3 linked regions of the Bombyx mori genome follow. The protein of the gene in region 2 purifies or fractionates together with the protein of the main gene of each other region. This does not show direct contact. Links are inferred from orthologs where the notes say so. Each region holds a gene or a part of one and is shown on either strand. Other genes may lie near its edges.

Region 1 (11,206 bases), on a different chromosome or scaffold from region 2:
AAGTCGCGCCAAATTCGTAGGACGATCCATCAACAAGTTTCGCTGGGAACAAAAGTTTCGACAAGTCTCTTGTACCGACGACGAGAACTGACAGGAGTTTTGTACAACAGTTTAGTTGTCTCGTATATGTAACCTAAATACTTTTACTATTACAAGAATTCTTTAACATCATTTACTTTTAAATTTATCTTACATTAAATAACTTACGGTTTCCGATTTGTACTGGATTTTTTACTGGTGGTAGGAAGGACCTCTTGTGAGTCCGCGTGGGTAGGTACCACCACCCTGCCTATTTCTGCCGTGAAACAGTAGTGCGTTTCGGTTTGAAGGGCGGGGCAGCCGTTGTAACTATACTTGATACCTTAGAACTTATATCTCAAGGTGGGTGGCGCATTTACGTTGTGGATGTCTATGTGCTCCAGTAACCACTTATCACCAGATGGGCTGTGAGGTCGTCCACCCAACGAAGCAATAAAAAAAAATTGTCTTCAGTTTTTCTATTTGGACTGAAAAATAAATTTATTTAACTTTCTTAATTACTCTATTAGGACAAGGAACCTGATACACGAATCGGTCAAGGGCGATATAAATTATCAATATTTTTAGATTATTTTATTTGGAAATAGGCTTTGGCATTAGAGGATAAATTTTTTTTGAGGCTTTATCGAATTTCATCGCTTAAGTTTAAAATAATCATATTTTTAGTCACCGTGATACCACGATACATATTATTATACACTCTCCCGTCGGCAAGGAGCTGAAATACGCCGTTAGCCAGCGAACAGGTAGGTAGGGGAAAAATACACCGCTAAAACGGCGATGGCTAAATAAGTAACTTAAAAATGGAGATGAAGGCGAGTAAAGATACAGTTACAAACGTGCTAGACTGTTTCATCTATTGATAATAAGTTTATTAATTTTAGCAATTACATACTTATTTGCAATAATTTTTTAAGCGATGCAAATGAGAATGTTTACTAGTGATACTGATTCTATTAGTTTTGTAGTTTAAAGTCGTCTTAATATTTGCGCTATGGTTCTAATGTAGTTCATAAAATTTATCAAATAATCCAGTAATAGGTTTAACAACTATTACTTACAGGGTTAGTTGAGACGGGTATTTTGAGGCTTGATTTATACTTAGCAATAAAATTTTGGGTAGGTGGTATGTAGAGAGTATGTCAGTGAATATTATTTAAGATTAAAGTCCGCTGATGAGGTTTTTTTTACATGTTAAAAATATGTGCACTTGTGTTTATCCAATGCATTAAAAGTAAGTAAGAAACAATACGGTACTATCAGCGCCAGATTTAGGGAAGAGCAACTGAGAGCAAACGGAGAGTCCCACAATTTGGAACCTCTGGGTCTGCGGAGGGACTTCGGTTCCCTCTGTATTTTGTACCGTATGTTCCATGGGGAGTGCTCTGAGGAATTGTTCGAGATGATACCGGCATCTCGTTTTTACCATCGCACCGCCCGCTACCGGAGTAGAGTTCATCCATACTACCTGGAGCCACTGCGGTCATCCACAGTGCGTTTCCAGAGGTCTTTTTTGCCACGTACCATCCGGCTATGGAATGAGCTCCCCTCCACGGTGTTTCCCGAGCGCTATGACATGTCCTTCTTCAAACGAGGCTTGTGGAGAGTATTAAGCGGTAGGCAGCGGCTTGGCTCTGCCCCTGGCATTGCTGAAGTCCATGGGCGACGGTAACCACTCACCATCAGGTGGGCCGTATGCTCGTCTGCCTACAAGGGCAATAAAAAATAAAAAAAAAAAAACAATGGAGACTAGAAAAAAAACCTTTCAAATTCCGACAAGTAAACACTAGTAAGCATTAGTTATCCGAAATTTATTTTCGGATAATTCTTGTCTCCAATTATATTTATTAAATACTAAGTTTTGTGTATTTGTGTTAAGTATTTGTTAAATACTAAGAGAATCTACGTGGTTTCACAATAAATTCTTTATTGGAAAACTCGACTGAAAAAAAATGTTCATTTTGTTTGGAAAATAATTTGGGCCCTGGCCTCCGCTCCGCTGTTGCCCGAGGCCTCCAGACCTCTAAATCTGGCTCTGGGTATTGTACTTCATACTAGATACGCCGGAGTCAGCCTGGAGTTTTATTTTATGTAGATTCATCGCCTCACTGACTGATGGTTTCCTACGAAATCGTGCTCGTTACAAGAATTGTTATTTTTTTATTGCCCTTGTAGGCTGAGGAGCATACAGCCCACCTGATGGTGAGTGGTTACCGTCGCCCATGGACTTCAGCAATGCCAGGGGCAGAGCCAAGCCGCTGCCTACCACTTAATACTCTCCACAAGCCTCGTTTGGAGAAGGACATGTCATAGCGCTCGGGAAACACCGATGATGATGAAATATCTTTCAGCTAAAGTATTACGAACGAAAAATTCTCGACTGTAGAAAAAAAAAACTCGTATTATATCTCCGCTGACGAGAATCCACTTTTATTATTAAGTATGAAAAGAATTTCGGCGCGTGACAGTATAGTGATCGATCACCTATTTTATGAGGGTAGGCAGAAATTATACGTTCTAAGATTGACGTCTCTACGTGTCAACGGCTGGATTGAGATGTCTGCCATTGCAGGATTTTAGATGAATTTAAAAAAAAAATTGAAACGTGGAAGAATTTAGCGGCAATTTTTGGGATCTCGTCTCGGAATTATTTACATAATAGACAATGCAGTATGAATACCGGTAACCATCGCGAGAACAAACACCAGCCTCAGTTGTATTGTATGATGGCAGACCTGCTCCTTAATTCGCCGTCATCTAACCCTCCGAGCTCGCAATAAGCTTTACTGTATATAGTTTATTATATATATTTATTTCCCACAACTCGTGATATTAATACAGCTTTTTAGCGGTCCTTGCACTTAGCGCAGCTTGTATCTGAAGACCTACATGCGGTTTTAAAATATATATCCAGGGGTGAAGGCTATTTATTTTAAGTGAACTTTCGCTAAATACGCGACATTTATCTTTGTAATTGAAGGTTCGTTTTATTTGGTATTATTATCAACAGTTCGATGTTTTCAATTGAACTTCAATTAAATTTACTCTATTCAAATAGCTGAAGATTTTTTTTTATTTTTTTTATTTTTTCCACACTTTAGCTCTGTAGTTGCAAAAATGTCGCTTATACCAAATAGCCTTACGCATTTCGATATGACAAGTATATGTGTATATGAAAAATAAATTTATAAAGGAATAAAATGTTAAAGTAAACATAGAAAACATTTACAATTAGGTGAGTAGGTAAGTAAAAGAAAAAAAAAACGAAATACACGTGGGATGATATTTCTAGTTGTGTTGTAGTTGGATCATGAACGGTGAACATCAATCAAACTGTCACCATCCCCACAATGTGTTCACAGGAACATCGTGGACCCTCTGTTGCAACTCTGATTGTGACCGTAGGTACTGACTATCCACTGTAAGTGTAGCAAAATTCGTGATAAGTTTCGTGATAATTCGTATTTTTGTGCATTTTCGTTGGATAGTCAAGATTTTTTTTAATATACTTCACATTTTGCAGCCATATTAATTTATTAACAATAACATGTCCTATAGAATAACAAAATTAAATAAAAACAATGATTATGTACAATTTCGGAATAAAATAAAAAATATAATTGGTTCCCGCAGGCTAGGCGTACCTATACAATTTTTTTTAATGAAATACGATTGACTTCCACATTATTTATTGCGAATTTCATTAAAGCGGAATTTATTACTGTGACCTGACTACAATGCTAGGCTGTGTAGGTTTGCTGATGGGATATTTTTGACTTCCTTTCCCACCTCGCTCGTGCGTCGGCCATTAGAGAATCACATTACCTTGGATGTTTTATGAATGAAGCTGACCCCGGATTGTAGTATTTGTTTTTTATGTAGGTATGTTTAGTGGTCCTATTAAAAATAGTATTGGAATATTTTGAATTTACCCACGAAGCTTGAATTGTCATCTATATTAAAACTTACGCATAGGTGCTGAAGACATACGCATATAAAACAATTATACCTGGAACATAGATCGGTAGGTTTTTTATGTGTTTTGGAGGCGGCTTTGGGTGCACTTATTGGTGAAGCCATCTTTGTATTGTGGCGGTCAAATTGTCCTTAGATAAATTGTCACGTAACAAGGGCGCAGCGCTGTTGGCGTGACGCTACGGACCTGCGTGTTTTGTTCGATTCAGGTGTTTGTTTAGAACAGCCTTTCCCAAAGTTTAAGTACATAGGTGAAAAAATGGGGGTGCTAAAAAATAATTTATTCTCTTAGTGAGCAGTAGTCAAAATCAGTTTGGGAGCCCCTGGTTTAGAATGAAACTATTTTTAACACTACAAAAAATGTATTGTGAAACTTTCTTTACTATTAGTATTAGCGCAGGTTCTTGGTGTCAAGTGCTCATTTGATAGTGGAATTTAAGAAAATAAGATTCACTCTCAATTTTATTACAAAGAGCTATAACGCCTTTTTTGCCCTATCTATTCGTTCAAAGCCTAAAAGCCGGCGAGAAACTCTGTGGGTTGTGTCCGTGGGCCAGTTCGCTCGTCGAACTCACGCCATCTATGGATTGACTTTTCAAACGATTAGTACATATGACGATAAACAGATGGCGTTTTTCGCCATTTTGGTTTGCTAACGAATCTGTAATACTACACACAAGCGATCATTGCAGTCCATAGCGTGACGCATGAAAGCCGCCTCGTAGCTTGAATTAATATATAATCGCAATACCAAATAAAATAAATACCAATAGCATTCGATTCATGTATCAACTTACAACAGGAATGCACGCTCACTTTATCATCAATACAATAATAATTAATATAACGACCCACTTTTTTCAAATCATACATCTTTTTGTTCAACAAATAGTATCTTTAATAAAATTATTAAATTCTAATCTCAATATAAATGTATAGTTAAATCACAATAGCAAGTTAAGACTTCTTTGCTTTTCATTCAATGCACCATGTAGAAATAAATAAAATATGTACAGATTATCCGAACATTATTAATTTATATTTGCTTGTGGAGATTCCCTGTTCTACTGGGCTTGCACTGCACTGATTCTGAAACAACGAAGCATTTTTTGGTTTTATCTACATTATTCAGTAAACACCACAGTGCACAACACTCTTGCTTCCTAACAATAGCAACAGACATCACTACACATTTGCGCCGTAACCTCTCACCCAAGCTTCCCAGCATGGAGCAACACTAACTTGTTTCCCAGCATTAAGCAACATTAGCTTGCTTCCCAGCATGGAGCAACACTAACTTGCTTCCCAGCATGGAGTAGCACTAACTTGCTCCCCAGCGTGGAGCAATACTAACTTGTTTCCCAGCATGAAGCAACATTAGCTTGCTTCCCAGCATGGAGCAACATTAGCTTGCTTCCTAGCATGGAGCAACACTAACTTGCTCCCCAGCATGAAGCAGCACTAACTTGCTCCCCAGCATGGAGCAACACTGACTTGTTCCCCAGCACGACACAGTAGTTGAGAGGAGAGCTATACTGACTTGTTGCCGAGCACGTTGGTGACGGCGTCCACCACGTCGGCGGGTCCGGGCACCGCGTGCGCCTCGAGCGTCCTGGCGTAGGGCATGGGCACGTCGGCGCCGCACACTCGCCACACCGGCGCATCTAGCTCGAAGAACGACGGCGACTCCATGACGCGGGCGCAGATCTCTGCGCCGATTCCTGGGACAATACACGTTATTCAACACTAATCCCGTTATCCTGCCACATATCGTGGTCAAGTATTTTGTAGCTTTCAAGTTAATAATATTTTATAATCTAAAGCTTACGCAAATGCCAAACGAAGCCTTGAATGCCACACATCAGCTGATTTCTATTGCAGTTATAGTGCGTGTTTTAATAGGGGCGATATTCTCTAATATCATATTATGTCATCACTGGAGCTAATAGACATTACCAAATGAATGTCGCCCCTTCGAGATATGTAGTCAACTTCTCAATTGCATTGTATTGGTTGTTGAGCCCTTCACAGCAGAACACAAGTGGGCCCCGCACGTCAGGTGCCGAGTGGTGCGCCACCGGGGCCGTCATACAAAGGACATGTCTAGTAGTGTGCACATTGAATAGATGCTTTGTTAAAGTGCAGCAGTAGCAGAATACGTTTTTCCATTTATTATCTGGCTCAAACACCCAACGTTTGTACTGAGCCTTTTAATGTTATTGTCCATAAATCCTTACCAGATTGCGGCCATCCTTGTTCTACAGTAATGAGATGATGTGTTTTGGCAATGGACCGAGCGATCGTGTCGAAATCCATTGGCCTTATTGTTCTTAGATTTACTACTTCACATTCTATACCTGAAAAATTTACAAATATATTTAGTGCAACATGCTGGAGTTTAAATTATGGACAAAGGAGTTTCAGAGGACTTTAATAATTACTTACTGAACATGGTTCATCCCAATTCAGAATCTGTTCTTTTAAACAAAGCTGCTGCAAAATTATTTGTCATTGATTACAAAACTACAATAGATTAGTATACTGGAGTTATACAACAACATATTATGGTGAATTATACAATGAAATTAAATCCGTTTTTATGAAAAATAAATTTAAAATACATTTAAATAGGTACAACAAGTTGTGAAATTTTGCAGCAGCACCCTAATTTTAATATGAAGTAAGATGTTTTCCGAATTCTGAATTTTTATTTTTGTGTTTTTGGTCTTCAGTTTTTTATGAAAAAATAAACAGTTGAATTTGCAATTGACAGCTGTCATATCCGACGCGTGTCAGTTTTGAGTTGATGAATGATGTATCTTCAGACGTACCCTTGCTTCCAGCCAGTTGTTCAGCGGCCTTGAGCGCGGTGTCGGTGCCTCGTCCAGCGCACACTAGCGTGATATGCCGACCCTCCCTTTCTACCTTAGCTTTGCCTGAAAAATAGTTCAATTTTTACTGTTAGTCAATTTTAGTGTCGTTACGCCTTATGATGTGTAGAAGTAATCTGGACGACAATAATTTATTTATTTATTTATTAATAAACAACAATTAGAGTAGTTAGGCCACTGGTGTTTCTTTTTGAAAGCTATTCGGCAACAACAGATAAGTGGGTCTACTCACCAATAGGAAGTACAAAGTCTTTGGACTGGGCTTCATCTGACATTGGGAATGGTATACCATACATAATTTCATCTTCCAACATAACAACTGGGTCGGGATCCCTGATGGCAGCTTTCAGGAGACCTAAAAGTAACATTCTAAGTAATGAGTATACCAGGAGGGCAAAATCAAAATACCAATATAAAAAATATTATATTTTGACTATTTATGATATTTGTTAGAGGAACCATCAATCAACAAAAGTCAATATATAGTTTTATTTCAAAACTACAAGGGAACAGGGTCAATAACAGCAACAAATTATAGTCATCATCTCATATGGATTTTCAAAGTATAAAATGAAACAATATACTGAATATCAATTGGTGGTCTTCAAACACACATTCACACATATAAATCAAGTCCCCCCTGTTCCATATTCACTACAAAAAAAATTATCATCTTAAAGTGGTGACATCCTGGTTGTGTGCATTATACATGGTTTCAATATTAATTCAATATTATCCAAAAGAACTTCGAAGCTATTTTTGGAATGATTACTATTTCTGGAGATGGCGATAGAGATTAGCAAAGTTCTACTTATAAAATGTTATATACCTTTATTACTATTAGATACACTATTCATATATTTTAATTTTTATTCAGGTACTGTTCACAATGATGAATGATGATAGTATTAAAAACGACATTCTTTGAATATATACAAATATATATAATCAAATGTGCACAGCTTGATGTTGTCAATTTATATATTTCCCTTAGATTCATTGGCTATGCATAAAATGACTAGGTGAACTGCTTACCTTTAGCATCCTCTGCTGAATAAGGCATTAGAACTTTAAGGCCTGGACAGTGGCTGTACCAGGCACCAAAGCACTGGGAATGTTGTGCGGCAACACCGGAGGCAGCTCCATTAGGTCCTCGGAATACTATTGGCACTGGTACTGTGCCAGCTGACATATAGAAGGTCTTGGCGGCTGAGTTTATTATCTGGAAGTGAATTTTTTTACTAATGTAGTTGGATTTTTCGGTTCGTATATGTGGATCATGACCCGCTTAGGCTTAAATCGTTGTGGAAACCATCACATTTTATGGATTCATCATAAAGTAATTATAGACTTTTATTTATTTATTTTTTATTGCTTAGATGGGTGGACGAGCTCACAGCCCACCTGGTGTTAAGTGGTTACTGGAGCCCATAGACATCCACAACGTAAATGCGCCATCCACCTTGAGAATAAGTTCTAAGGTCTCAAGTATAGTTACAACGGCTGCCCCACCCTTCAAACCGAAACGCATTACTGCTTCACGGCAGAAATAGGCAGAGTGGTGGTACCCACCCGCGCGGACTCACAAGAGGTCCTACCACCAGTAAGACTTGTCGTGATTATAGGTAGAAATTTTAATTACATTAGAAAATGGATAATCAAGTTTTAATCTGTAAGATGTAACCTTGTGGCGCTTTTATTTACTTTTTTAAAATTGACAATATCAACAGACAAATCTTTTCAAGTTATTTAGAAAGTTAATAATTATGGATGACTATCGGCCATATTTTTTTTAGTACATTCTTATCAACACATGACACACAAAAGGATTTATATTTAAACATGTATTTATGGGATTCATTACGTATCATTGTTTTAATCTTTTAAATTTTCGGAATTGTTGTCATAATGCAGTTTTATGTTTGTATTTTTTTGGTCTACCTATCTGCCAGTAGCCTCGAGGGCCTATTCAGCCTCCACTGTGACTGAGGTGGCTGAGGTCATGGACTTAACCTCAAAGAGCTTGGTAATAAAATCCATAGCAAGTGTTTCACTGAAAACAACCACACATTGAGCATTTCCAGAGAGAAACTCATTGGGATATCCCTTTTCTATATTTTTTGTTACATATTTGTTTATTTATATTTGTGATTTTTTGGTCATTGTCAACATTTGACATAACACCACCAATTGTGTCATGGACATTACGAGGATTTTGTTCATTAAATACAACTTATCAATTTTATCAGGACACTCACATGATCAATAGCTTGCATAGAGAAGTTAAAGGTCATGAATTCACAAATAGGCTTGAGCCCTGCAAAAGCAGCTCCAACAGCTATACCGGCGAATCCTGCCTCTGTGATGGGTGTGTCGATAACTCTTTTATCACCATATTTCTTCCATAGACCCCTAAAATTATTTGTTGGTTTTCATATCTTGTTCATCTTTTGTCATCACATGAAATTTATTATTTAATGATTGATTAGTGCTTCATGTAGTGTGCATTGACATTATTTAGAACCATGCTGGGGAAGCTAAAACTCACCTATGAGTCACCAACTAGATGCAAACTTAGTGCAACAGTAGGGAATTTATATTCATGTATTTATGTTAGTAGTAGAAATAGAGGATGTAGTAGTAGGATGTCTGTGTTCACTGAATAATACAATGTACACTTTAGATATAAGCCCATCTGATCATAGTTCGAAGTCACATGCAATAATACTTTTGGAATAAAAGTTACATGCCCAGATTAATTAATGTTACTTATCTGGCCTTTAACTGTGACGAGACCGGTACGCTAAATACTGATAGGCTTAGTTTATAATTCAGAGCTTAAAATATAAAGGTTGTAAACTTTAAGTATTCTATGTTTCTATTGTTTCATATTAAGAGAAGGCATTATAGCTGAGCATTAACACTTTTATATTTAAGTTTTATTTTGTCTGTTTAAAGAATTTAATGTTTTCATAATCTTCATGTATGAAGGAAGATATCATTCTAAATTTTCAGGATTAATGGCATTAAAATCTTATATGAAACAGCGTTCTTTTATATGATGATAGTTAAATGTCTGCACACACTTAAATATATTTTTTACTTTTGGATGTGATTTTTATTTTTCAGATTTTCAGAATTTTGTTCCAACATATTCGATAGATATTATCTAGTATAAATTACAGAAATTGTTTTAAACTATAAATAGGTTGAAAATATTATGTATTAATGAATTTCGATCCATTTTATATGATTTATATTTCATTGGTTAGCCAAATTGCATTCGGGTGTTTGTTTGTTTACTGCAGTCGTATCGACAGTACATCGACTGCACTATCGATTTGCTAACGATAACATTGAACTTGACAATCTGTCAACAAATGAATGGGTTATGTAATGATGAAACGAATTTGGATTACATACAATCTATTGTGAGCTTAATTGAGATAACAGAGAAGATTAAAATAGCAAATCAAGTTGAAATTTCAGCAATAACTAGTAAATATAATAGTCGACTGTTATGTACATACGATAGGTTAGAATGTTTTACCTTGTAACTTTGTAGGCACCATCGTATTGAGCGACTTCCTCTCCCAAAACGAAGACTTTCTCGTCTCTCTCCATCTCCTCGTCGATCGCTTGATTTAAAGCATCTCTTACAGTCACCGGCTTAGAAGCCAGAGCTTTCGATGTGGCAAAACTGCGACGGGATAATCGAGTGAGCATCCCGAGAACAGCCGGCGATGATTTTAATGCCATTTTAAATATAATGTCACTGTTAAATAATTTTTGCAACACCTAAACCAGCAAGGTGGTTTATTGGCGAGGTAAGATCTTAGTTTTGTCTAAAATGATATTAAATTCGCGAATGAACCGCGACGAAGGATGAATGGAGGTCGTTAGTGTATCCATTGAAGTTCGTACGCATAACGCATGACACTGTGACATTACAGTAGTTGTCAAATTTGTTAAATGTCAGAATTTTTCTTTGTACGATTGAAACTGAACTACGGTTTAATATTTAAACTTCAAATTTCAAAATATATTTTAAGCCGACAATTTTATTACGTTATTATCATTTTACTAGTAAGTCCATCGAGCTTAATCCTTTTATTTATGAAATCATCGATCATGTCATTCGATTTCTTGGATTCAGTACTTATTACTTAATTTTAAAATAGGAGTTTTTTCATAATAAAATTAATAAATCTGCAAAAAAAATTTTTTGTGTGATCAAACTTTTAAATTCGTTACTTTTCTTCGACTAAAATGATAATAAATGTTTCAGCTTATATGTATAG
Region 2 (10,922 bases):
CACAGCGCGGACTGCGAGGCTGGACCGCCTACCCGCAAAGACGAGGTCAAAATAACTATTACAAATGTCATAGCAAAAAGGATAAAAGATGTGTCCTTGGCTATTCTGAACGATGTCGCCTATAACGTAATAGATCCATCAACCTTTAAATCATTACCGTGTTGCTGTGATGAATTAAAATATCTGTTGAAGAAAAAACTACCCAATGCAACGGTAAACATTTTCGAACAAGATCTCTCTGGTAAAGCAGCTGATGTGATTGATAAATTGATAAACATATTCCCCGTGGACGCAGCACTGTGGGAAATATGTTTCCGTTTGTCTAAAGATTTTTACATTAATAACAGTTTATCTATAACTGAACTGGAACGTGTTTTGCGTAAGTATATGGAATCGAATGCTACTACAATGATTACTGCGATACTGTATTCGAAAGATTGTTCAGAATACAGTGAGATTTTGTCACCAAAATTTTACTTGAATATGTGCAATCAGGTAATGGACACATGGGGCTGAATTAGCAAGGGATTTGAAAGATGACTCAGAGCAATTATTGGTGTTCGTTTCCAATGATATCCATCGAATTAATTTTTGCATCAATTTGCAGATCCCTTGATCTTATCGTAGATTTAATATTAATTATCGTAGATTTTTTAAACATTATTATAACCTACAAGTATTCGCAATTGCGATACTATTATTGTAATACTAAACAATGAGCGATTATTTTTAAAACTAATTAAATTATAAAATTGTTTTGTTTGATTTTTCGATTGTTCGAATTTGTTATTCCTACAGGATTATGTTTTAATGTTATTTTATTACTTTTATTTCTTTATTATGATAAATTTATGAATAAAATCAGGTTATTATTGTGTAATGTACGTGGACCGCCAAGAGAAACGAGACTGTCTACGATTTGCTACCAGAAGGTTCTTGGTTACTTTAGTCATATTGCTCGGCGGCCACCAGACAACCTTGAAAGATTGATTGTGGTGGGCAAGGTAGAAGGGAAAAAACCCGCCGGCCGGCCACCATACCGTTGGTCGGATCAGATATCTGCGCTCACTAGACTCTCTGTTGCGAACGCCCTGAGAGAAGCCGAAAACCGAAGCAAATGGAAGCTGAGGGTACAAAGAGCCACGAAGGGCTTTCAAGGACATGACCTTCAGCAATGAAATATTCGACTAAGAAGAAGAAGAGAATATACAGGAAAGTTAAGCTAAGTCGAGCTTGAAAAACCTTGTATTTTTTCTGTAATACCTATAACTTACCTGGTATGTCACACTATTCATGCTCACCCAGTTCAATGTTTGTGTAATCTAAGAGGTTCTGTATCCTGTTTCGATTTTATAGTTGCTATTCATTTTTTCTACGCTTAAATTCTTTGAAATAGCAATTTAATCAATAGATTAAAAAGCAATAGCTTTGGTAACAGTAATCGCTCATTATCCTGGATCCTATAATGGAAATTTTACTTAATAACCATACACCTCTAATGAGATTAAATCCCCTTAGACTATATTTATAGGAAATAATACATTTTCTACTCTTTTTAGTATTTGTGCTCTCTTATAGACTGATTTTGTTTGTGTTAAAATATGTAGTAGTATATGTATGTGTATATAAGTTTCTAAGTTTTTATGTGTTATCATTGGTGATTTTGGCATGATTTTATACAAGTATATATATTTTTTCAATGTTTGTTATGTCCGTTTTGTTTATGTAAAGATTGTTGTCAATTCTATAAGATACGCAGCAGTTTGCACAGTACTTTATGTAGTAGATTTAGCCGGACTGAATATATGAAGGCGTACTGAACTTCCAAACGTGCTTAGTCGTGGGAGAACTTTTTTTGGCGTCATTCGGTAATTCATTGCCATCGTATTTACTATAGTAGAATTATTTTGTCCGTGCAGTTTGGGTCATAAAAAGTCGGAGCAGTGAAGCAAGTATTTCGCTCTTTCTTCCACTCATGAGCCTTATGGACGGGCATAGTGATGCGCATTATTGTTGTCGATAAGCGTTATCGATAGTGTATTTAGTTTTGTCATTTTGTGGGTTAGTGATAAAAATGAAAGAAAAAATCACTAATCGAACATTTACATCACATATCGCCGCAGAAAGTTAACGAGCTTTGTAACTTTTCGGGATCTATTCTTATTTCAGTTAAAATTTTTAACACATTGTTGATAACAACACGTGCAATATTATTTTGAATGAATTCTGCTGTTTTGATACAAAACAAAGGAGTAGCCATTGTGTCAGTAAAGAAATTCAGAGAATGAATGCATAAAAACACATTTCTCTTCGACATAATGTAATTTAATTTGCAGGTAAGTACAAATGACTCATAACATATCAATGTCTCACCACCCTTCGTATACCACCCTGCCGCCGTGTACCTGCCTTCGATGACTCATTAGTTTTTATCAATAATTGCGTTGCGCCCGCGCAACATGCTCGCCGCCCTAGCCGGGCTATGTTTTAAGACCCAAACTGCACGGACAAAATTACTATAATTACATTCATTTCAATTAATACAATAACCCTGCTGAAGTCGAAGCCGACTAAATTAGCCCGCGTGTACTGTATTAGTCTTATGAAAATGATACAACGGACCGCCTTAGTTAAATTCATGAGAGATTCACACCAAAATTGTAAATGTCATTCGTTTCTTCAGCGGAGGCTTGCCGTGATCTAGTAATTTAATGTTGCAACCAATCATACTTCTCTATTCCAATTACGAAGTCTAATGATACAGATGTTATTATTATGTTATTGTGTGTGTGAATTAATTGTATCTTGATTTAAATTGATTGTGTATTTTTTAAATGATGTTTACGACCATGAACAAAAAATGTTTATTATTTTAAATTATGCGAAAAGTGAAGAGTTACGTTCTAAGAAGTGTCAAAAGGACCTTCGTAATTAAAATAGAGTTAGTCACCGCTTTATCCACCGCTACCTTCTTACTTCACGAGTCATTTCTTCCGACTGTTACTCTTAACTTTAGTTGTTAGATAAAGTTCCAGAACGACCTACTTCTAATTCTGTTTTATAGCTTTTCGTAATGCTATCGACTAAGCACAGATTGTATTGTTCGGTAAATTGACTGTAGATTTAATATATCCATTATAAAGTAGATGTTTTATATCCATGACATTTTACAATGATTATCCTTTACTATATTAATGTATTTCAACTAGATTAATTTAAAAATGAAATTGTTGATTTTCTTTCTACAACACGAATTGTTTACTCGTTAGTTTGTCTAGTCAAGATTTCTATTTTATACGTTTGTTAACACAATTAAGTTTTGAACTTTGTTTGTTTGTTTTTATGAATTTCCCATTTAAATTTTTTGTTATAATGTTTTTTAGTTAAGAAATAAAAATAAAACTTTCTTACATGAATGTATTCTGGTATTTACAAAACAAGATAAATACACAAATGTAGTTTTATTTTTAGTGACAGTAAGGATCCTTTAGGTATGCACTTGCACAAAAAAAAAAACTAAACGGTACTTTAACAAAAATAAGTATTATTGAAATTATTTATTAGTTATTATACAAATAAATATCACATACTAGCAAACTGGCGTCACAATTAATGATTTCATAAATAACAGTGTGTTCCTTCAACGCTTTCAAATACTCTTGTAATAATTTACTTGAGCTTTATATTTAAAAACGTACGTGGCACGATTCCTTTTAAATCAGATTCATTCATACAAGATTCCTTAAAGCGGACACAATATAGACTAAAAACCCAGTTGTTCATTGGGTTCATTAATTATTAGCACCTCTACATTTAGAAGTTGATTGGTTTTCCGGAGTACGCTGCTAGATTTGCTTCACGTAGCGCTTCGGCACATGTCTGAAATCAAATTTACATTAATTATATTCAAATATATATATGGTCAGTGATGGGCGTAACTAGTTACTTTTGTAATCTAATTAGTAATTAAACTACAAAATAATTTAATTACAATGTAATCTGATTATATAGTAATCAATTACATTGTAATTAGAATTACTTTGGATGTGAAAGTAATTGAATACAATGTATTTAATTGCAATATAACTAAATTACAATCTAACCTAATTACATAGTAATCAATTACATCGTAAATCGTAATTACTTTGAATATAACACTTGTAATAAAAACACATATTTATATATATGATACATCGATTTTTAGATAGGTAGGTTTTATGTACTTCAATAAAAATAAATAGGTAAGGCTCACTTCATAGTGAACTAGAAAGGAAGGTGTGCGGAGTGGGGGACGACTTTGCTTATTACTTTTCGACTTTTTTTTGTTTTCGTACGCTACTATGATTAATTGTCCGAAAGCCAACCAACCGTCTGTCAGTCGAAATGTTTGAAAAAAGAGTCATATTAAAAGTAAGGTCAAGTGCGGTAGGCAGCGGCTTGGCTCTGCCCCTGGCATTGCTGAAGTCCATGGGCGACGGTAAACACTCACCATCAGGTGGGCCGTATGCTCGTCTGCCTACAAGGGCAATAAAAAAAAAAAAAAGTAATTTAAATTATAAATCAGCAAAATAATGTTGTTTAATTTAATCTGCCAATGATTAATTTAAAAAAAAGAACGTTAAATGATAAAAGATTATAAAAAAAGTATATAAAATGTGTTTCATTTTTGCGTTTGTCAAAAAAGTTATTAGTAGGACATTTTTTGTTAGGTTTCCTAACATAACATAACAGAATAATTATGTGATCAATTATCAGTAATTATAAGTAATTTGTTTCAAATACATAAGTAATCTGTTACAGTTAATGTAATTAGATTAACTTATAATGGAATTACTTTATAACTGATTACAATAAGTACTCACTGTAATCAGTTACTTAAGTAACCTGTTACAAAGTATCTCAATTACCAATTACAATGTAACTGTAATTTGTAATTATTAATCTGATTACTTTTTGCCCATCACTGTATATGGTATATTATGTATATATGTACTTTTTTTTCTGACTGAGGGATTACTGGTTGTCCAGTTTCGCCATAATAGGTGGGCGAGCAAAGGCTCAGCCATGAGGGGTGAGTTTTCCTAACAACTGCCCGAGCGCCTCCATAGGAGACCTAACAACTCAAGAGCAACTGCTTCGCGCATTAATCTACTACCGGGTCGGAATCGCGACCGGCTGAGAAGATCCGGCGAGAAACTCAGTGGGTTAGGTTAGGTTACAGGTCAAACTTTGCAGAGTTCGACGAGTAGGGTTCGCGGGTCCCTAAGCCTGCTCCTAGCTTTAGAGCTGAAGGCGTCTAATGCAAGATTTTTATATGTACATATGTATAGTTGTATGCATGATAAGATACTGGTGGTAGGACCTCTTGTGAGTCCGCGCGGCTAGGTACCAACGCCCTGCCTATTGCTGCCGTGAAGCAGTAATAATGCGTTTCGGTCTGAAGGGTTAGGGCATCCGTTGTAACTATACTGAGATCTTAGAACTTATATCTCAAGGATCCAGTAACCACTTAACACCAGGTGGGCTGTGAACTCGTCCAGCCATCTAAGCAATAAAAAAAAAATGCAAATCATTACTATAGGTATTATTACTATCAAGATTTAATGACTTTAAGGTACAAAGCGGATTTTCCGAGTTACATGTTCACGAAACTGAACAAAATTGACTGTTAAGTTTCGTTTTGTGTATATTTATACTTACAGGATGCGCGTGACAGACTCTCGCAACGTCTTCAGCAGCGGCACCATACTCCTGCGCGAGTACAGCCTCGTTGATCAACTCACCACCGCCCTGATGAATTTATCAAATATTTATATACCAGTAATATTGCTGATAATGATCTTAAAAATCCGCTAAAAAAGCGATTCATGTTCAAAATATAAAGTCTTTTAACGTAATCGAACGATAGATGGCGTACTAGTAGCGCGCCATCAAACAAAAGACACGGGCTTGTATCACATACAAAATAAACACAAAAAATTACATTTTTATTTTAGATGGTTATTTCTGACAAATTTTTTAATCTTTACAATACAATTTATTATAATATTTTACGATATAATATTTATTGTTAAGAATAATAAACAGTGCCATCTATCGAAAGATTGAGACTGTTAACAGTTTTAATAACATTTAATTTTGTCAAGTGCTCATTTGCCAGCATAAACATTAACATTTTTTTATACTCACAGGGCCAATAATGTGAGTCCCAAGGATTACGTCTGTAGTCTTATCGGAAAGCACTTTGACGAAACCTTCAGTTTCCCCATTCGTTTTCGCTCTGGAGTTCGCCAGGAACGGGAATTTACCCACTTTGTAAGCTCTGCCCTTTAACAATATTAATTAGTTGTGAATGACAGCTTAGCATTTTCAAAACAAATAAGTTCTGAGACTTACTTCTTTCTTTAAATCTTCTTCAGTCTTTCCGACCCAGCCAACTTCGGGTGAAGTGTAAATAACCGACGGAATTGCATCGTAGTTGAAGTGGACGGGCATACCCTGAAAATTTGTGTACAACTTTTTTCAGTTTCACCTTCAACGATTGAAATATCACTTAGTTCTATTTTGATGGTTTTAATGTGATTAAAGCAGTTAAAGCCTTGTTACAAAAATAGTCAGGTCTGCTATAACAGCGATCTCTATTAAAACTTAGATCTAATCCTTTGCTATCCTTCTTTCCTTGTTGTCTATAAATATATATCTATCCATTTTATTGAAAATTTCTAATCTACATCACAACAATTAACTATAATAACTGAGAACAAATCATGTACGGTCATTGTTTTATTTTGTAGTTGATTGATTGACAAGCAGTTTTATACAAAATATTTGGATTGTTTTCATTCTATTCTATTCTATTTTAAAATTCTATTCAATTATATTCACACATAACAAAGCCATTCAACGTATTGTCAATGGTCAATATTTAACAAAAATTAGTTTGATTAACAAAATTTTGTTTTACCTTAATACCTTCCACGCAGACGATACCTTCGTCCTCCGCTTTGTGAGCCAACATTGGTCCGTGAATTACATCACCAATAGCGTAAATTCTGGAAATAATATAAAATGAAATCCTTTTTATTAGCAAGAGTCCGTGATGATCACAATATCGCGTACCGCGAATGCTATACTTAATACTTCCATACTTCCTTATCATTTGTCTGTTGTACCAGTATCCGCTCCTTATTTACCTATTTAACTCTCCTCCCAGACACATGTGTACAACACTGGCAATATAGAATATTATGAGCCACAAGAAATACTGTTGGCATAAGTACTTATGTTTCCTTCATTTAAATGCTATTCCCCTTTATCCAAATGCGATTGAGATTTCGACTATTAGGTCGTATGAACGTCAAAGTCGTAGCGTTACTGACTGTTACGCAGATAGCAACTCGAATGAAATACACTGGATTTTTTTTATTACTTTGATGTGTGGACGAGTTCACGGCCCACCTGGTGTTAAGTGGTTACCGGAGCCCAAAGAAATCGACAATGCAAATGCGCCACCCACCTTGAGATATAAGTTCCAAGGTCTCAGTATAGTTAAAACAGCTGCCCCACCCTTCGAACCGAAATGCATTACTGCTTCACGGTAGAAATAGGTGGGGTAGTGGTACCTGCCCGTGCGGACTCACACGAGGTCCTACCACCAGTAAAAATACCACCTGGTCCTAACACCAGTATGTTAATTTGGATGACCCACCCGGGCACAGTAGTTTGGAATTTGTTGTTGACAGGAATCCGGCCGCGGTCGTCCAAAGCGATGCCCACTTTGTCGAGCCCGAGACCTTTAGTGTAAGGGCGACGACCAATTGAAATTAGCACCACATCGCAATCCAACTGAAATATATTTTTAAGATAAATATCAGACCATATAATATATTAACAATAAACAGGTAGCTAAAGGTAAAAGGAAATAAATATGTTATTATAAATAAACTAATATTCATTTGGTATGTGACATATAAGTATTAATTTATTACGTTATTATTTTTATTGCCTCAAAACTCGTATGAGCATATGGACCACCTGATTGAACACAATCGCTCATAGACACAGCAATGCCAGGGACACTAATAACCCCCAGCCGACTTCTGGGAACTTTTTTCAAAAACTCGTTTGAAAAAGAAAATGGCAAAGATATCAGGAATCACAGAATTTCATCTCGGAGCAAAAGGGTGTGTGGGAAATATGATCTCTGATAACATACTGTGACTGAATGCAGTGGTTTGAAAGAACGGTCTGAATAATTATTAAATATTATTCTAAAGCAGAGTTCATCTATACTACTTGTATCCGCTGCGTCCATTGAGTGTGGTTCCAAATATCTTTTTTGCCACGTATTAGCTGGTTCTAAAATTAAACCCCTTCCACTGTGTTTTCCCCAGTTCTGACATGTTCTTTTTCAAGCCAGGCTTGTGGAGAGTGGTTGTGCTATTGCTGAAGTCTATTAATAGCGGTAACCACTCACCTTCAGGTGGGCAGTAAGTAAACTCGTCTGCCTTCAAAAGCAACAAAAAAATGTATTGCTGAAAAATATGTACCAGTGGAGGGTGGTAAGACTGTAAAATAAATATGACTAGATTGTTTCAAACAAATTCTTTAAACAGTTCCTATGAGGCACAAATACACGATAAATCGTTGGAGCCCTCAAATGCCTTAGTCCTATTATCAATATTATTCCACTCTGTTTTTCTTTATGAAGCTACAGTTCATCAAAGGTTTATTATTCTATCTCTTGCTTTAGCCACTTTGAAACAAAATGTCTTAAACCTTACCACTTCCTTATTGCCACCTTTAGCAGCTTCAACATCAACTTTGATAGTACTACCTTCTTTCTTAACCCCTAAAACTTTAGTTCCCAGTTTGAATTTCATTCCTTGTTTGCTTAAGATTTTCTGAAGAGTCTTGGCTACCTCTCCATCAATACCAACACCTAAGACATAGGAAAATAGGCATTAACATAATTCATATGTCAATTGCATAATAAGAAGTGTAGTAAACGTCAATATGGCAAGAATCATTTGTGTATTTAATGATAATAGGGTGAATTATAACCCATCTCACTGTCTATCTTAGTAATTTACATGTATTGGTTTGAAGGGCGTGATAGCCTTTAGATATACTTTATTATAGAGATTTACACATTGCAAGGTTGGGAGGCACATGTTGTGATGTTTGTGTTCAGGACACCACTTAACAACAGGTTCACCTGTCTTATCAATAAAAAATAAATACATATTTAATTAAATCAAACGAAAGCACAGTGGACGACATTATTCTTTTGTGAGTATTGAAGGTCTACACTATTTGACAGTATGATGATGCATAATCAATCATACAAACTATTATCTGTTTACTTGCAAGCTCTTTATTTTTAGATACTACATTTTTTATTTGCAATATCTTGTGACTTTATCTAATCAGACAATATTAATACACTGAGGTTTATGTGATTGTCTGAGTCTTTTAAATTCAGTTCTGATATTAAATTAGCTTAGCAGATAGATCTAGATAGTGACTGATACAGATTTTTTTTAAATTTCATTAATAAAGCGAATTAAATTAATAGTTAAATATGGGAATTAATAACAGGTACATATTTTATTATTTGAAATTTGACAAAATTATTATTTTACCTCCAATGCTAGTTAGGAATTCAATTGCAGTAACATCAGCACCAAGTCTTTGATAAACAGAACCAAGCTCCAAACCGATAACTCCAGCTCCAATCACCAACATTTTTTTCGGTACTGACTCCAAGGAAAGTGCTCCAGTCGATGTGATTATTTGTTTCTCATCAAACTGTATAGATGTGATTCTAGATTTTTAAAATTGTTTTAAAACTACTATGATGAAATATCATTATGTAATAGCTTCAAAATATATTTTTATTGTTCCAAATAAAATATCAGTAGTGCAAGACGAGGACTACGGGCATGACCTTTTTTTTTTTTTCCCACAAGAGAAAATCGCCGGATCCCCACCCGCGCGGCAGGTGGGGTATGTGGGAGTTGAACCTCACTAAAAACTCCTGCCGCTCACGACCGGCGCCCTACCTCGGACCGGGCCGGAGCCCAGTCGGGGCTATTGAAACGGCGGGACAGGGTTGACGCAGAGCACATTACATCCATCCCACCGTCTCACGGACGCCGGACCGGTGGCCGCCAGCGACAAGACCACCGGTTCCCCCGTTCAGCGGGCCGAGAGACGGGCATGACCTGGAGTGATGTCAAGGAGCAAGCGCAAAATAGGGTCAAGTGGATACAACTTATGAAGGCCCTATGCACCAGCTTGGTATCTTAGGACTATTACAACAAAAACAACAGTGCAGAGATATTACAACAAAAGCCGCAGCATCGCAATACAAAGCTATTTTTTAAATTAACTAATGCATACTACAATGCCCTATATTATTTTTAATTGCTATTCTGAGGCAGTCATTCCTGAAGAAAGTAGAAGAACAAAGTTTATTCATAAACTATTTATATAAGCCTGTTGTGAATTCTGGAAAATGTTTTATCTAATTATTCTATTATAATCTATTCTATTCTATTTATAATCACAATATGCTACAAGCAGTTTCACTCTTTTTTATTTAATCTTATATTTTGTAATCAATTAGAACACATCATGGCTAATTGAATTGACAAAAGCAGAATTCCTCTAATATGAGCAGATAAGAATATCAAAAGGGACTATTTTCGCAATGTAAGTAACTTTTTACCACTACTAAAAAGGCAAAAACCTATCTATTCTTGTATGATTAGTGTGAGGGCAAGAAAATTTCTTTTGTCAATTTGCACCTTTTGCCACTTAATAAAATAAACATATCTATTAAGAATAACTTACAGTAACTCCAGGGAAAGGTGTAACTTCAGACCCAGAAGCGATTAGAATATTTTTGGTATTAACAG
Region 3 (11,755 bases), on a different chromosome or scaffold from region 2:
CGTAAAAAATATATACTTCCATGTATAATTATTTAAAACAAATGATTAAATTTCAAAAAGCATCGTCCGCTTAGTATGTCAGCGTAGGTGCATAAGTTTATATATTTGTCATTTAAAAACAAAGAAGAGTAATAACAGTTCATGGCTACTAGTGCTTTGAAAGGACAATGGATGCCGTCTAATTGAAATATGTGAAGTATAATTCTAATCGATCATTGTAATCTTTTAGCACTGAGCATTGTATTATGTTAATCGGCACGAATAGTAATTGGTTATACGTCAATCTAGTTACATATGTTCTTATAATGACATCATGTGATCTGTTAAGTTTCATTGTTGTTTGTCCATATTCGGAGTACTTAAACAGCAACAAGCCAATAAACAATCGGCATATACCTGCTACTTTAAAAATAGATGGAAACGATCTTTCATGGTTGCACGTATGATTACTTTATTATATTATATTACTTTATATTACTTCGTGGCAGAAACAAGCAGGTCGTCTTGCGAATCGACACGGCGAGGGAGTGATTTGAGCACGGAGACTCGAATCTCGCGATAGCATCTTCTAAGATCGCCTTCTAAGGCGATGCTCGACTTCTGCGAGTCCACCATCTCGCAGTAGGAGACGGCGGAACGAGAAAGGTTGAGCTCTTTCCTCTCCGCGCCAGAGGTTCAAGACAGAAGACAATACGAGGATACGTCCCTGCTCCTGTAGGCGGTGGCCACTCCCCGGTCAAGGCCACGGGGCAACCTGAGAGGGTTGAGGCAGCGCGGCGTGCTACCAGCACTCTAACGCACTCCGAAGGAGTAGCCTCATAAAAGCGTCCGGTTGGCGGTGTATCGCGTCTCGACCCAACAGGATGGTTTTGGCCCAGCGAAGTAGCCCAGGACACCAGCAGCGGCCCGCTGTACCGAGACGGCTGACGTTGCAGAGCCTTCGTTTCGCCTTGAAAGCTCCGTTAGCCGTTAGCAATATCACATTTTATCTTAGTAGTAGATAATTCCTGTCATCAAAAGAAGCTATTTTAAGGTAAGCCACGGTCGGTCGTATCACCATCGCATCGTATTATCGGTGAAAATTGCCATCAAATGGGATGCTCTCTCGGTTGGCTTCGTCAAAATAAGAATATTGTTCAGAATAAAACGAACGTATTCAATACCATGCATCTTAACACTTCGATCTTTCTTTTTCGCTTCAAAGTATCCGTCGTAAGTGTCACCAGTATCGTGTTTGAAAAGACCTTGATCTTGAACTACCGGCACATCCTTTACGGGTTTCTTGATCTCTGACTCCGATTCCCATTCAGTTGACATTTCGGTCATCTAAAAGAAACAGTATATGTATGTCAAAAAAATTACATAAGCTTTACAGTAATCTCTGCGATATATGTAGGTATATACCTATTGGTTTTTTTAATCTGAATTCAGGTGAACTTGACAGGTAGTACAACGTATTAATTGCGTGCTAATTCCTGCTGAGAAACATTGATAGATTTGAAGAGTAAACAAACGGTTTACACTATGGTGATGAGATTTTCGTCTCTAGTTGCGTGACGGTGCTCACGTATCTACGAACTGCCATAGACATTTAATACTGGACTGTTGTTTTTTTTCTTTACATATTTGCTAGTAGCCTAAGATGCTCTATTCTAGCTTCGCGCAGACGAGTAGGTCAGCTCACGGGCTCAACTTAGCTTGAGAATTCGATAATACTAGCCCTAGGAAAAGCAGTGCTTCGCAGAAGCTACCGCCGGATCGGAATCGCGACCCACTGAGAAGATCCGGCGAGAAACTCTGTAGGCTGTGTCTATGGGTTAGACTGTTATCCTCTACGTTCATCCGCAGCAAAAGTAGATTACTCGTGATGAACTAACCATTAGTGGCTTATTCAGGGGGACGCAAGTACTTTAAGATTGTTGTTACTAAACTTTATTTCCGTTCGAATCACAGAAAGTCTTCTTAAGCAATAATAAAATTAATTTATACTACTAATGTTATAAATTTTAAAGTTATTAAATAGTTAATAAATAGTTGAATTGACTTATACAAAATGTAAGAAAAAGATAATTTCTAGCCTAGTAAATAACGTGAGAAACGCCCGATATTAGCTTAGCTTATTATATATTATAGTTGTTCGCTGTTTGGTGATTTCACTTACTATCAGTGAACGTACTAAAACACAAAGGACACCAGCAACTCCTTATCTCGGAAAAAGGCAATGTGTTTCATTCGTTCTAAATTTTAAATTTAACCCGGATAAGATCGCGGGGCAATTTTAATATATTTTTAATTATGCATTGAGATAAGTACTATCCTTACGCGTCAGACTTACGATCAGTACCAGATTTTTTTTATTGTCCTTGTAGGCAGACAAGCATACGGCCCACATGATGGTAAGTGGTTACCGTCACCAATAGACTTCAGCAATGCTATGGGCAGAGCCAAGCCGCTGCCTACCGCTTAATACTCTCCGCAAGCCTCGTTTGAAGGACATGTCATAGCGCTCGGGAAACACCGTGGAGGGGAGCTCATTCCATAGCCGGATGGGACGTGCACAACATGTTCGACCACTAATCAATTGCGGAAATAAATATTATATGTTTTGTTTTATTACACTATGAAGTACGTACCAAACCTACCTTTGTGGCCTTTAACATACATGGAAAATGGATTCATGATAGACATGTGATTTCCCCGAAGCCTGTCAATCAATCAACGTGTTACTGTCTACATGATAAACGTGATGTCTTGAAACGGTGAATGCCATACCAATTAGATTCGACGTCGGACGCAAAACAAACATAAACATCTTAGGAACATACTCATTTGAAAAATTATATTTAGAATTACCTCTGTACTATTGAGTTAGTAGGTACTTAAATTGCAAATAAATTAGTGGTAATAAATTAGAGCCATTTCCGCCCCATCAACATCTGAAATGATAAAAAGCTACACACCGTGAGAAATTCTACTTTCTAGATTGTTATTACATAAATACCTTTTATTGTTATTCATTTGTGATTAAGCGTGACATACGTCAGACCTTGACATGAATTGCCAATTTGAAGCTTAATAGATCGTGTTTCATTTTTTCACGAATTTTTTACACGCAAGGGCACGACCTGAATGATCTAATAGTTTAAGAAATACATTCATTAGGGAATATTAATATTCCGCTTAACAGACAGAGTAAATTTTAGAATTGTATTGAATTGTCGTCTGTGTGAAAAAAGTTTTTGACTAGCCATTTTTTAATGTCATTGCCATATTATGTTTCCATAGGTATTACTAATTTTGTTTGTATATTTAATATGTATGTAGGTACATAATTATAGTTTTTCAAATTTTTGGTTTGTTTATATTTTTTACTCTGGAAATCAGAACACAACTAACACAAAAGATTGATACTGTTTTTATCCTTTTTAAACTTAACTCTAAACTTCGAGCTAATTTCAGCATTAGTCCAATTCCAATCAGGCGAATTTCATGACAGTAGAAATTGACAAAAACACCAACTGGTGTGAAAGTAAAACTTTATATTAATTTTAATGAAATCCAAAAAATAAAACAAACTCGTCTGTAAGTAAAATATATTTCACTAACGTTCATAAATAATCTAGCATCATCAAAACGTTACAAAGTAACATTACAAAATTTTTAACAAAACAAAATAATGCTTCGTTTCGTTTCAATGCATACATTAGTTTCCATACTGACGTCACAGCTGTAACGAATTATTATTACATATTTACAGTAAATTACAATAAATATGTAGATCTACATTCCGAACCCTACTTCTTTTTAAATTATTATAATAAAATGCGTAAAAATGTATATTTCGTCACGAGATTTTTTTTCGGTCGTTTCTCATAAATCACAATTATAGTTTTATTAAATACGCGCTTTCAGCAAAAGCTCACTCATTAAAAGCGTAACCACAGAATAAATATATAAATTAAATATTAAGAAAACCGCGACGATCAAACTGTTTATCAAAGCTTAAAGTTAAGCTTTTTCTTATTTCGATTAACTACTTTGGTCCTTTGAACGAGCAAAACTAAACTTTTTATTTGTGATCGAAATAAAATGCGAAAATTGTACTAATAATATTGTGATGAAAAAAAAATGTATGTTCTGTGTCCCCGTCTTACGGTGATACAGGACATCCAAAGGAGCCAAAAACACACGAGGCCATCTCTTGACAGGTTACAATAAATTTTACTTTTTTTCTCCCTTTTTTAATACGGATACCGGTAAAAGCGACTATAATAAAAAAATACAACTTGTTGTTAAAAATAAATTAATACCGTTTCAAAACACTTAACCTTAAAATGTCAGTTTTTTTTTTTTTTTTTTAATATCGGAATTAGAAATGTTCGTCTATGTGTATACGTTTTCGCGACATCCTTTCGTTAAGCTGAATTGAGGTAGGACCGTTTCTCTATTTATAAAATGATGTTGGCGGGATCTTCGAGGTTCTCCTTGAATACTTTCATCCATTGAGCGCCGATCGCTCCGTCCACCACCCTGTGGTCGGCCGACGCTGTGAACGTGACGAACTTGGCTGTTCGGAAGCTGGAATAAACAAAAAAATTATGCAATTCTCATGTTGTATTTGTTATTTTAGCTCTTCTACACACACTCATCGCTTTTAATTATTATTATCATAATCCTCTCGCAGGTCTGCTAGAAGAGATTTCTTAAAGAAATAAGCAGTGCCTTTGTACATAATTTTCCTATTACTCTGTACTATGTCTTCTTTTCTGTGTGTACATATTACATAAATAAATAAATAAAATAATAAAGCGGTAGTGAAACATCGTTCGCTTGCAAAACTAAATCCTATAGTTATATAATCCTATAGCTGATATCAGTTTTACTTTTGGTAGTGTCGCTTATCGAGTGTCATTTCCGTTGCAAAACACAACGGTAGAAGTGAAATTTAAAACGTATTCTATCTCTTTCGCTCTTATAGTGTGGATTGATAGATATTAAGTTAATATAAGTTGAATCGTAAATTCGGTGGAAAAAAATTTGGCTTTCTCGTCATGAATATCCTAATAAATGAACACGTATAAAAGACACTATAACTATACTGAGACCTTAGAACTCATATCTCAAGGTGGGAGGCGACATTTACGTTTTAGAGATGTCTATGGGCTCCCTTAATCACTTAACATTAGGTGGGCTGTGAGATCGTCAACCCATATACGCAATAAATAAATAAAACCACAGTAGTCATTATAGTCACAAACCGACACCTTTTGTCCGGAGAGAACGACTCTAGCCGACCTCTGATTATTAGTAGTTTTTAATGGCTGTACACACAAATTGGAACGCTAATGGAAGCTTACGGTGCTGCGGTACGGGGGCTCCAACACGACGTATTCAGACGCGGAAATTATAGTTGGGATTTGACCTGATGACAGGCACGCTGTTGAGTCTATTTGGCTGGTGGTCATGCTGATAGCTAACAAACAACATACCCGTTTGGTTCACTTTGGTCTGGAATGACCAGTTCTTGTACGCCGCCGCAAGCTATAATGAACGACTGGGGGGGATTGATGATGGCGTTGAACATCGTAATACCTGTCGACAACAAACACTTTCGTTAATTACGGAGGTCGCAGCCTAAGGTCTTAAAGAAAACCGAAAATGAATCTAAAGTTTATTAAAATTAAAAAGATTACAATGAAACTTAAACTTAATTAATGCTACTGGTCTGTCTTCCGACGATGTGAGTTCAGAAGTGCGGGCCCCGTGGCTGGCTTCGAAGCTCCATGAGGTAAAGGTGCTGAATCGGCGTCCCCGCACTCATGTGCGTCAATGTGCCATTTACGTCAATGCACCGTTTCTAGTGTGTTGCAATGCTGTCTCAGCGTTCACGACAGTCACGTACGCCAATGTATATATGTGGTAAAATTCCTATTGCATATCGGAATATTACATAAAGTTAGGGTATATAACACGTTATTGTCATTTGTTTTTGTCACCTCTGCCTGTTTTCATCGAATCAATAACACTTCAATAATATAATAATAATAATCGACTGAGTCGGATGGTTAGCGCCCTTAACTGTTGCTTAACTGTTGTTCGATTCCCATATCGGGCAAACATTGTGCGGTGAACAGGTAATGTTTGCTTTTTGTCTGAGTGTTTACTATCTATAATATATGTATATATACGAACGTATCTAAATCAATCACTGGTACCCATAACACAAGGAACCCTAAATTGGGGCCAGACGACCGTGTGTGACTTCTCTTCTTCTTTTTCTCCACCTTATCTCACTAGGTGGGGTCGGCACAGCTGATTTTTCTCTTCCATTCTCTTCGATCAGCCGTCATCTCAATACTCACTCCTCTCTCTCTCATATCGTCATTCACACACTCCATCCATGTCTTCTTCGGTCGACCTCTTCCCCCTCTACCTTGCACTAGCATTTCCATACATCTCCTAGTCAGTCACATGCATCTTCTCTCTACGCATCACATGACCATACCACGCTGAGCGTGTGTGAGTTATTCTCAATTATTTTTATTATTGTTAAAACTCCATCCAAAACGAGATGTCATATGTTTACACAGCTAAACGTAGATAAAGAATACATACCGTACATTCCTAGGTTCGATACCGTGACAGTACCGCCCTGGTACTCTTGAGGTTGAAGTTTACCGTCCTTGGCTTTCTGCGCCAATTGCTTCATGTTCTTCGAGAGGTCGATGATGCCCCGGGAGTCAGCGTTGTGCAGGATCGGCGTGATGAGGCCGGTCGGAGTCGCCACGGCCACACTCACGTCTACGTTGGAGAATCTGATGATAGACAAAAAAAAATTATTTCAAAGAAAAGTCGGTTTCAATATCATGATTAGATGATACATCATTTAACGTTAAAGCTTAGGTAGGTACGTCATTTAAATCCTTTAATAATTCGCTTCGTATGAAAAGACACATAGTGAAATGTGTGCATAGTTTTGATAATAAAGATTTAAAAGGTAAACAATAACTAAGAAACATAATATCTTGTACTATTTAAATCCTTTATTATTATTCTTATTTTTATTTTATTCTTGTATTATTATTTATTATTATTTTATTATTATTATTATTATCCTTTATTTCTAAAATTTATAAATTATTTGTAATAGAATGACGCCTTTATTGAAGACAGGGTCGTGCCTCAGCAATATACGTGAGACACTTCCAAAACTTCGAGATTGTGCGCTACAATGCTTTTAGTTTTTATGACTGGCAACACCATGAGAGCTGTAATACCTTTGAAAGCGTACTACACAAAACAGTTTTAATCAATTATTAATATCTCAAACTTACTGTCTTATGAAAGACTCCATCCAATGTGAGTTGACTGTAGGCACGCGCTTGCAGGCAGCCGCCACGGCTTTAATGATGAAGTCGTTCACTGAAACCTTAAAATTATCATTTTTAATGACATAGTCCGACGTGATGTTTGTACTATGCAGTGGTCCGGTTTATCGGGATCGGTAACCTTTTTTCCGGTTTAATTGATACCAGAGCACTGTTGTCGTTTAGTTTATTTTAAAACCGTAGTGTCGCTACTATCGCGGTTTGAAAATTAGCTATCTGTGCAATCTCTGACGCCATCTTGCCCATATTCAGCGGTAATCGTAATTGTCATAGTTTATTTTTTGCATATGACGTAGGTAAGAGTAAATTTCTGTTCGCTGTTTCATTTTAAATATTATAAATATATACATGAAATCTTTTTATTATTGAGCATTAGATTAAAAAGGTGGATTCCTTTAGAAATTGACACGTTGCTGTAACTACTTATATGATCCAAATCTTATTTTCGATATTTTGATGTTGATAATTACGACAGTAGCGACACCGCGTTGTATCGGCACAGCAATATATTGCAACTAAGGTCCAGACTCCAGACTTACTGTCGCCTCTGAAAATAGCTAATATCCTAAACTATGATTCATATCATACCTGACGTTTACATCATACCTGACGTCACAAGATAGCGGCGTCATTTACGTTAGCATTCTAACCTTATCAGTATAATAGGCTCTGGCATTTAACGCGTCCAAAGAGCCCACAATTTTTTATTGAATATCGTTAATCGGTTAGTAGTAGTTTACCTCAATAAATTTACCTTACCTCAAATAACTTTTAATTTTTTTATTGCTTAGATGGGTGGACGAGCTCACAGCCCACTTGGTGTTAAGTGGTTACTGGAGCCCATAGACATCTACAACGTAAATGCGCCACCCACCTTGAGATATAAGTTCTAAGGGTCTCAGTATAGTTACAACGGCTGCCCCACCCTTTAAACCGAAACGCATTACTGCTAACATGTTAGAGGAAGTCTGAAAGTGGCACCTGTGACAGAGAAGTTGAGAAAGTGCGCGTTTGGGATGGTATGGACATGTGATGAGACGAAATGAAAATGAGGTTGTTAAGAGAGTGTTAACTATGAATGTGGAAGGATATAGAGGTAGAGGTAGACCTAAGAAGAAATTGACGGATTGCATGAAAGATGATATGTGTAAGAGAGGAGTGGAGTATGGAAGGAGAAAACATGTTGCGCCGACCCCAGGTGACTGGGAGAAGGGCAGCAGGATGATGATGAGTAGCTTACCTTAACATCAGCCTTTTCACTGGCTAGCCTCTCGTTAACCAGCTTCCTCATGGCGAGGGTTTTCTCGACGTTGACGGTGACACTGAGCTGGTAGTGCGGGATGCTTTGTTTAGCGGCCGTCAGCCTCTTGGCGATGGTCTCCCTCATGCCGGACAGCGGCAGGTCCACAAAGGTGGCGCCGGGGGCTGGGGCGGGGGCTGGTGCGGAGGGGGCGGAGGCCGGAGCCGCTGGTCCTGCCGCTGCCGCTCCTGACAGGTCACCGCTCTTCAATGACCCGTATAGACCCGTACCTTGCCCTGAAGATGGTATATTTGGTTTGCAAATTAAAGTAAACTTTTTCCCAGTTTCTTTCATTTATTGTAACTTATTACGTGCCTTTGTCAATATAACGAAATACCTTTTCGTTTAATGACAATACACCATCCAGAGGGCTCGGTATAGAACTATTACGAAATTGAAAGGATAAAATACTTTAAAAAATCCATCACCATGAAAATAAATGCGTTGTATGTATGTACTTGAAAATTTTATCCGTTTATCTTTTTCTATAACAACAACGGGGTTAAATAGATATGGATACTGGTCCTTGTGCTGACCTAATATATAAGTATTACTTTTCCATATAATACATTATTTTATTGGTGTCGATTTCGAACGAACGGTTTCGAACGGTTAAAAGTTATTAAAGTATTTCATTCATTGCCGTTTTCGTCACAGGAGCGGTCGTCTTAGACCTTGTAGGGATGGCGTTAGAGTATTTATCCATCAAAAATTTTAATACTTATTTGTACGAGCAATTTTTCATAAATAAAGACTTTAAGGGATTTCATTAATCGTAAAAATTTGGGGAAATAGAACAACTTTGTAATAAACTGTATATTACAAAGTTCGGATTTTCTCATAGTTTCAAGCTAATGCATAACATTTTTCAGTTAAGTAAGAAGACTAAAATTATTAAGTGGCGGTAGGACCTCTTGTGAGTCCGCAAGGGTAGGTACCACCGTCCTGCTAATTTCTGCCGTGAAGCAGTAATGCGTTTCGGTTTGAAGGGCGGGGCATCCGTTGTAAGTATACTTGAGACCTTAGAACTTATATCTCAGGGTGGGTGGCGCACTTACGTCGTAGATGTCTATGGGCTCCGGTAACTTAACAATCAGGTGGGCTGTGAGCTCCTCCACCCATCTAAGCAATAAAAATAATAGTTTAAAAAACTAACAAAATAAGCTTTTATAGAAAATCCAACTAAAAACGGAAAAAAAAATTATTTTTGAATTAAAAATAGTGTATGAAAAAATGATTTTATTGTAAAAAGGCGTGGGGTGCATGGTATAAGTAGTTATAAATATTTTATGAACAGATATGAGTAGTAGGGTTATTTTGATAATATCCTATAACACTATTTTTAATTCAAATTTATTAAAATTTATTTTGCATTTTTTAGTTGGATTTTCTATAAAAGCGTATTTTGTTAGTTTTTTTAAACGAATATTTATTGTTCATTTTTCAGTTGAATTCAATTTTTTCAAAATTTTGTTTTTCCATGTTTTTATTTGATATTGTATTGTCATCGGTCCTTAATAAGTATACCAAATTTCGAGTTAATCCGTCGTTTTGAAGGGGGTCAAAATCATGTTCAAAGATTCCGTTACAAACATACATACATACGACTGAAGCTAATAAAAGCGTATGGAAAATAAAAAATCTCACCTCCTAATCTGATGTTTTTGATCTCAGCCAGTCTCCTAGCCATAGGGCTGGCGTATACCCTGCCCGACGAAGCAGGTTCGGCGGGGGCAGCCGCAGGGCTGGGACGTGGGGCGGCCGGAGCGGGGGAGGGGACGGGGGCTGCGGGTGCTGCTGCAACGGGGGCGGGTGCGGCAGCCGCTGTATGGTACAGAAAAACATGAGAAATTTGTATACTCGTATATAAATAAACTAACTAAATATTAAGAAATCGTCGTGGCCTAATGGATAAGACGCCCGGTGCATTCGTGTTGAGCGATGCACCGGTGTTCGAATCCCACAGGCGGGTACCAATTTTTCTATTAAAATACGTACGCAACAAATGTTCACCGATTGACTACCACGGTGAAGGAATAACATCGTGTAAATAAAAATCAAACCCGCAAAATTATAATTTGCGTAATTACTGGTGGTAGGACCATTTGTGAGTCCGCGCGGGTAGGTACCACCGCTCTGGCTATTTCTGCCGTGAAGCAGTAATGCGTTTCGGTTTGAAGGATGGGGCAGCCGTTGTAACTATAGTTGAGACCTTAGAACTAATATATCATGGCGGGTGGCGTATTTGCGTTGTAGATGTCTATAGGCTCCAGTAACCACTTAAACACCAGGTGGGCTGTGAGATCGTCCACCCATATAAGCAAAAAAATAATATTGACGTACACCGTCCGTATAACGGCCGTCTGGTGTAGTGGTAAGTGACATGGTCACTACACAAGGGGGTCGCGGGTTCGAATCCCGCCAAGGGAAGATATTTGTATGATAAATATAAATGTCTTTTCTAGGGTTATGGATGTATATTAAATATATGTATGTGTATAATAAAAATATTACATTTATTTCCGTTATCTGGTACCTGTAACACAAGTTCTTTACGAACTTATCACGGGACCAGTTATCGTGGGGTGATTGTTAGTAAATATTTATATTATATTTATTATATTTATATTATACCATAAAGAAGTAAGTTCATCATATTGATTCGTATTACAGATTAATTAGGGATAAATTGCCCTTCCAACCAAAAATTGTTTTCCGTATGTTAGTATTTCACAGCAAAATATGTAATCACGAGCCATATAAGTATTTACCACTATTTACTCTGTACTACCTTTGGTTGACTGGTAGAGAATGCCTTAGGCATTAAGCCCGCCAATGTAAATTTTACATGAAGTGTAATATCTAATAAATAAATAAGTATAATAAATATTATGTATGCAATAAAAAGTGCATGTTGGCACCTGCGAGTTATCCATAAAAAATATTATGCATAAATAAATCATGTTAAATATATAGTAGGTATGTGTACTGCCATTCATTTTTATTTAATGAATGTTTTATTAAGAAACGTTATTTATAATTATCCACTATCGTTTTGCTTGGAGGA

The links.
Region 1: the proteins of DLDH (region 2) and pyruvate dehydrogenase E1 component beta subunit purify together in Homo sapiens (affinity purification with mass spectrometry; 3 studies listed by BioGRID and IntAct, counting the BioPlex papers as one, with this or other methods). This does not show direct contact. The link is inferred for Bombyx mori from reciprocal best matches to the Homo sapiens genes DLD and PDHB.
Region 3: the proteins of DLDH (region 2) and dihydrolipoyllysine-residue acetyltransferase component of pyruvate dehydrogenase complex, mitochondrial purify together in Homo sapiens (affinity purification with mass spectrometry; 4 studies listed by BioGRID and IntAct, counting the BioPlex papers as one, with this or other methods). This does not show direct contact. The link is inferred for Bombyx mori from reciprocal best matches to the Homo sapiens genes DLD and DLAT.

Annotation. Positions count from the first base shown.
Region 1 is NC_085112.1:15,802,000-15,813,205, forward strand, and holds pyruvate dehydrogenase E1 component beta subunit, read right to left. Parts: upstream 10,880-11,206; 5' UTR 10,665-10,879; coding exon 10,456-10,664; intron 9,572-10,455; exon of another isoform or gene 9,318-9,571; coding exon 9,164-9,317; intron 8,128-9,163; coding exon 7,941-8,127; intron 7,261-7,940; coding exon 7,138-7,260; intron 6,951-7,137; coding exon 6,846-6,950; intron 6,372-6,845; coding exon 6,252-6,371; intron 5,736-6,251; coding exon 5,555-5,735; intron 5,104-5,554; coding exon 5,079-5,103; 3' UTR 4,889-5,078; downstream 1-4,888. UniProt on the Homo sapiens protein: The pyruvate dehydrogenase complex catalyzes the overall conversion of pyruvate to acetyl-CoA and CO(2), and thereby links the glycolytic pathway to the tricarboxylic cycle.
Region 2 is NC_085128.1:7,022,363-7,033,284, reverse strand, and holds the end of DLDH (dihydrolipoamide dehydrogenase), read right to left. Parts: coding exon 10,858-10,922; intron 10,570-10,857; exon of another isoform or gene 9,972-10,569; intron 9,811-9,971; coding exon 9,645-9,810; intron 9,601-9,644; exon of another isoform or gene 9,365-9,600; intron 8,942-9,364; coding exon 8,784-8,941; intron 7,846-8,783; coding exon 7,709-7,845; intron 7,053-7,708; coding exon 6,965-7,052; intron 6,499-6,964; coding exon 6,397-6,498; intron 6,328-6,396; coding exon 6,190-6,327; intron 5,791-6,189; coding exon 5,701-5,790; intron 3,880-5,700; coding exon 3,814-3,879; 3' UTR 3,525-3,813; downstream 1-3,524. Other genes in the region: uncharacterized protein LOC101742417, read left to right, coding at 1-516. UniProt on the Homo sapiens protein: Lipoamide dehydrogenase is a component of the glycine cleavage system as well as an E3 component of three alpha-ketoacid dehydrogenase complexes (pyruvate-, alpha-ketoglutarate-, and branched-chain amino acid-dehydrogenase complex).
Region 3 is NC_085109.1:9,378,924-9,390,678, forward strand, and holds the end of dihydrolipoyllysine-residue acetyltransferase component of pyruvate dehydrogenase complex, mitochondrial, read right to left. Parts: intron 10,513-11,755; coding exon 10,336-10,512; intron 8,925-10,335; coding exon 8,629-8,924; intron 7,430-8,628; coding exon 7,335-7,429; intron 6,816-7,334; coding exon 6,616-6,815; intron 5,593-6,615; coding exon 5,490-5,592; intron 4,579-5,489; coding exon 4,449-4,578; 3' UTR 3,580-4,448; downstream 1-3,579. Other genes in the region: uncharacterized protein LOC101744577, read right to left, coding at 1,164-1,326.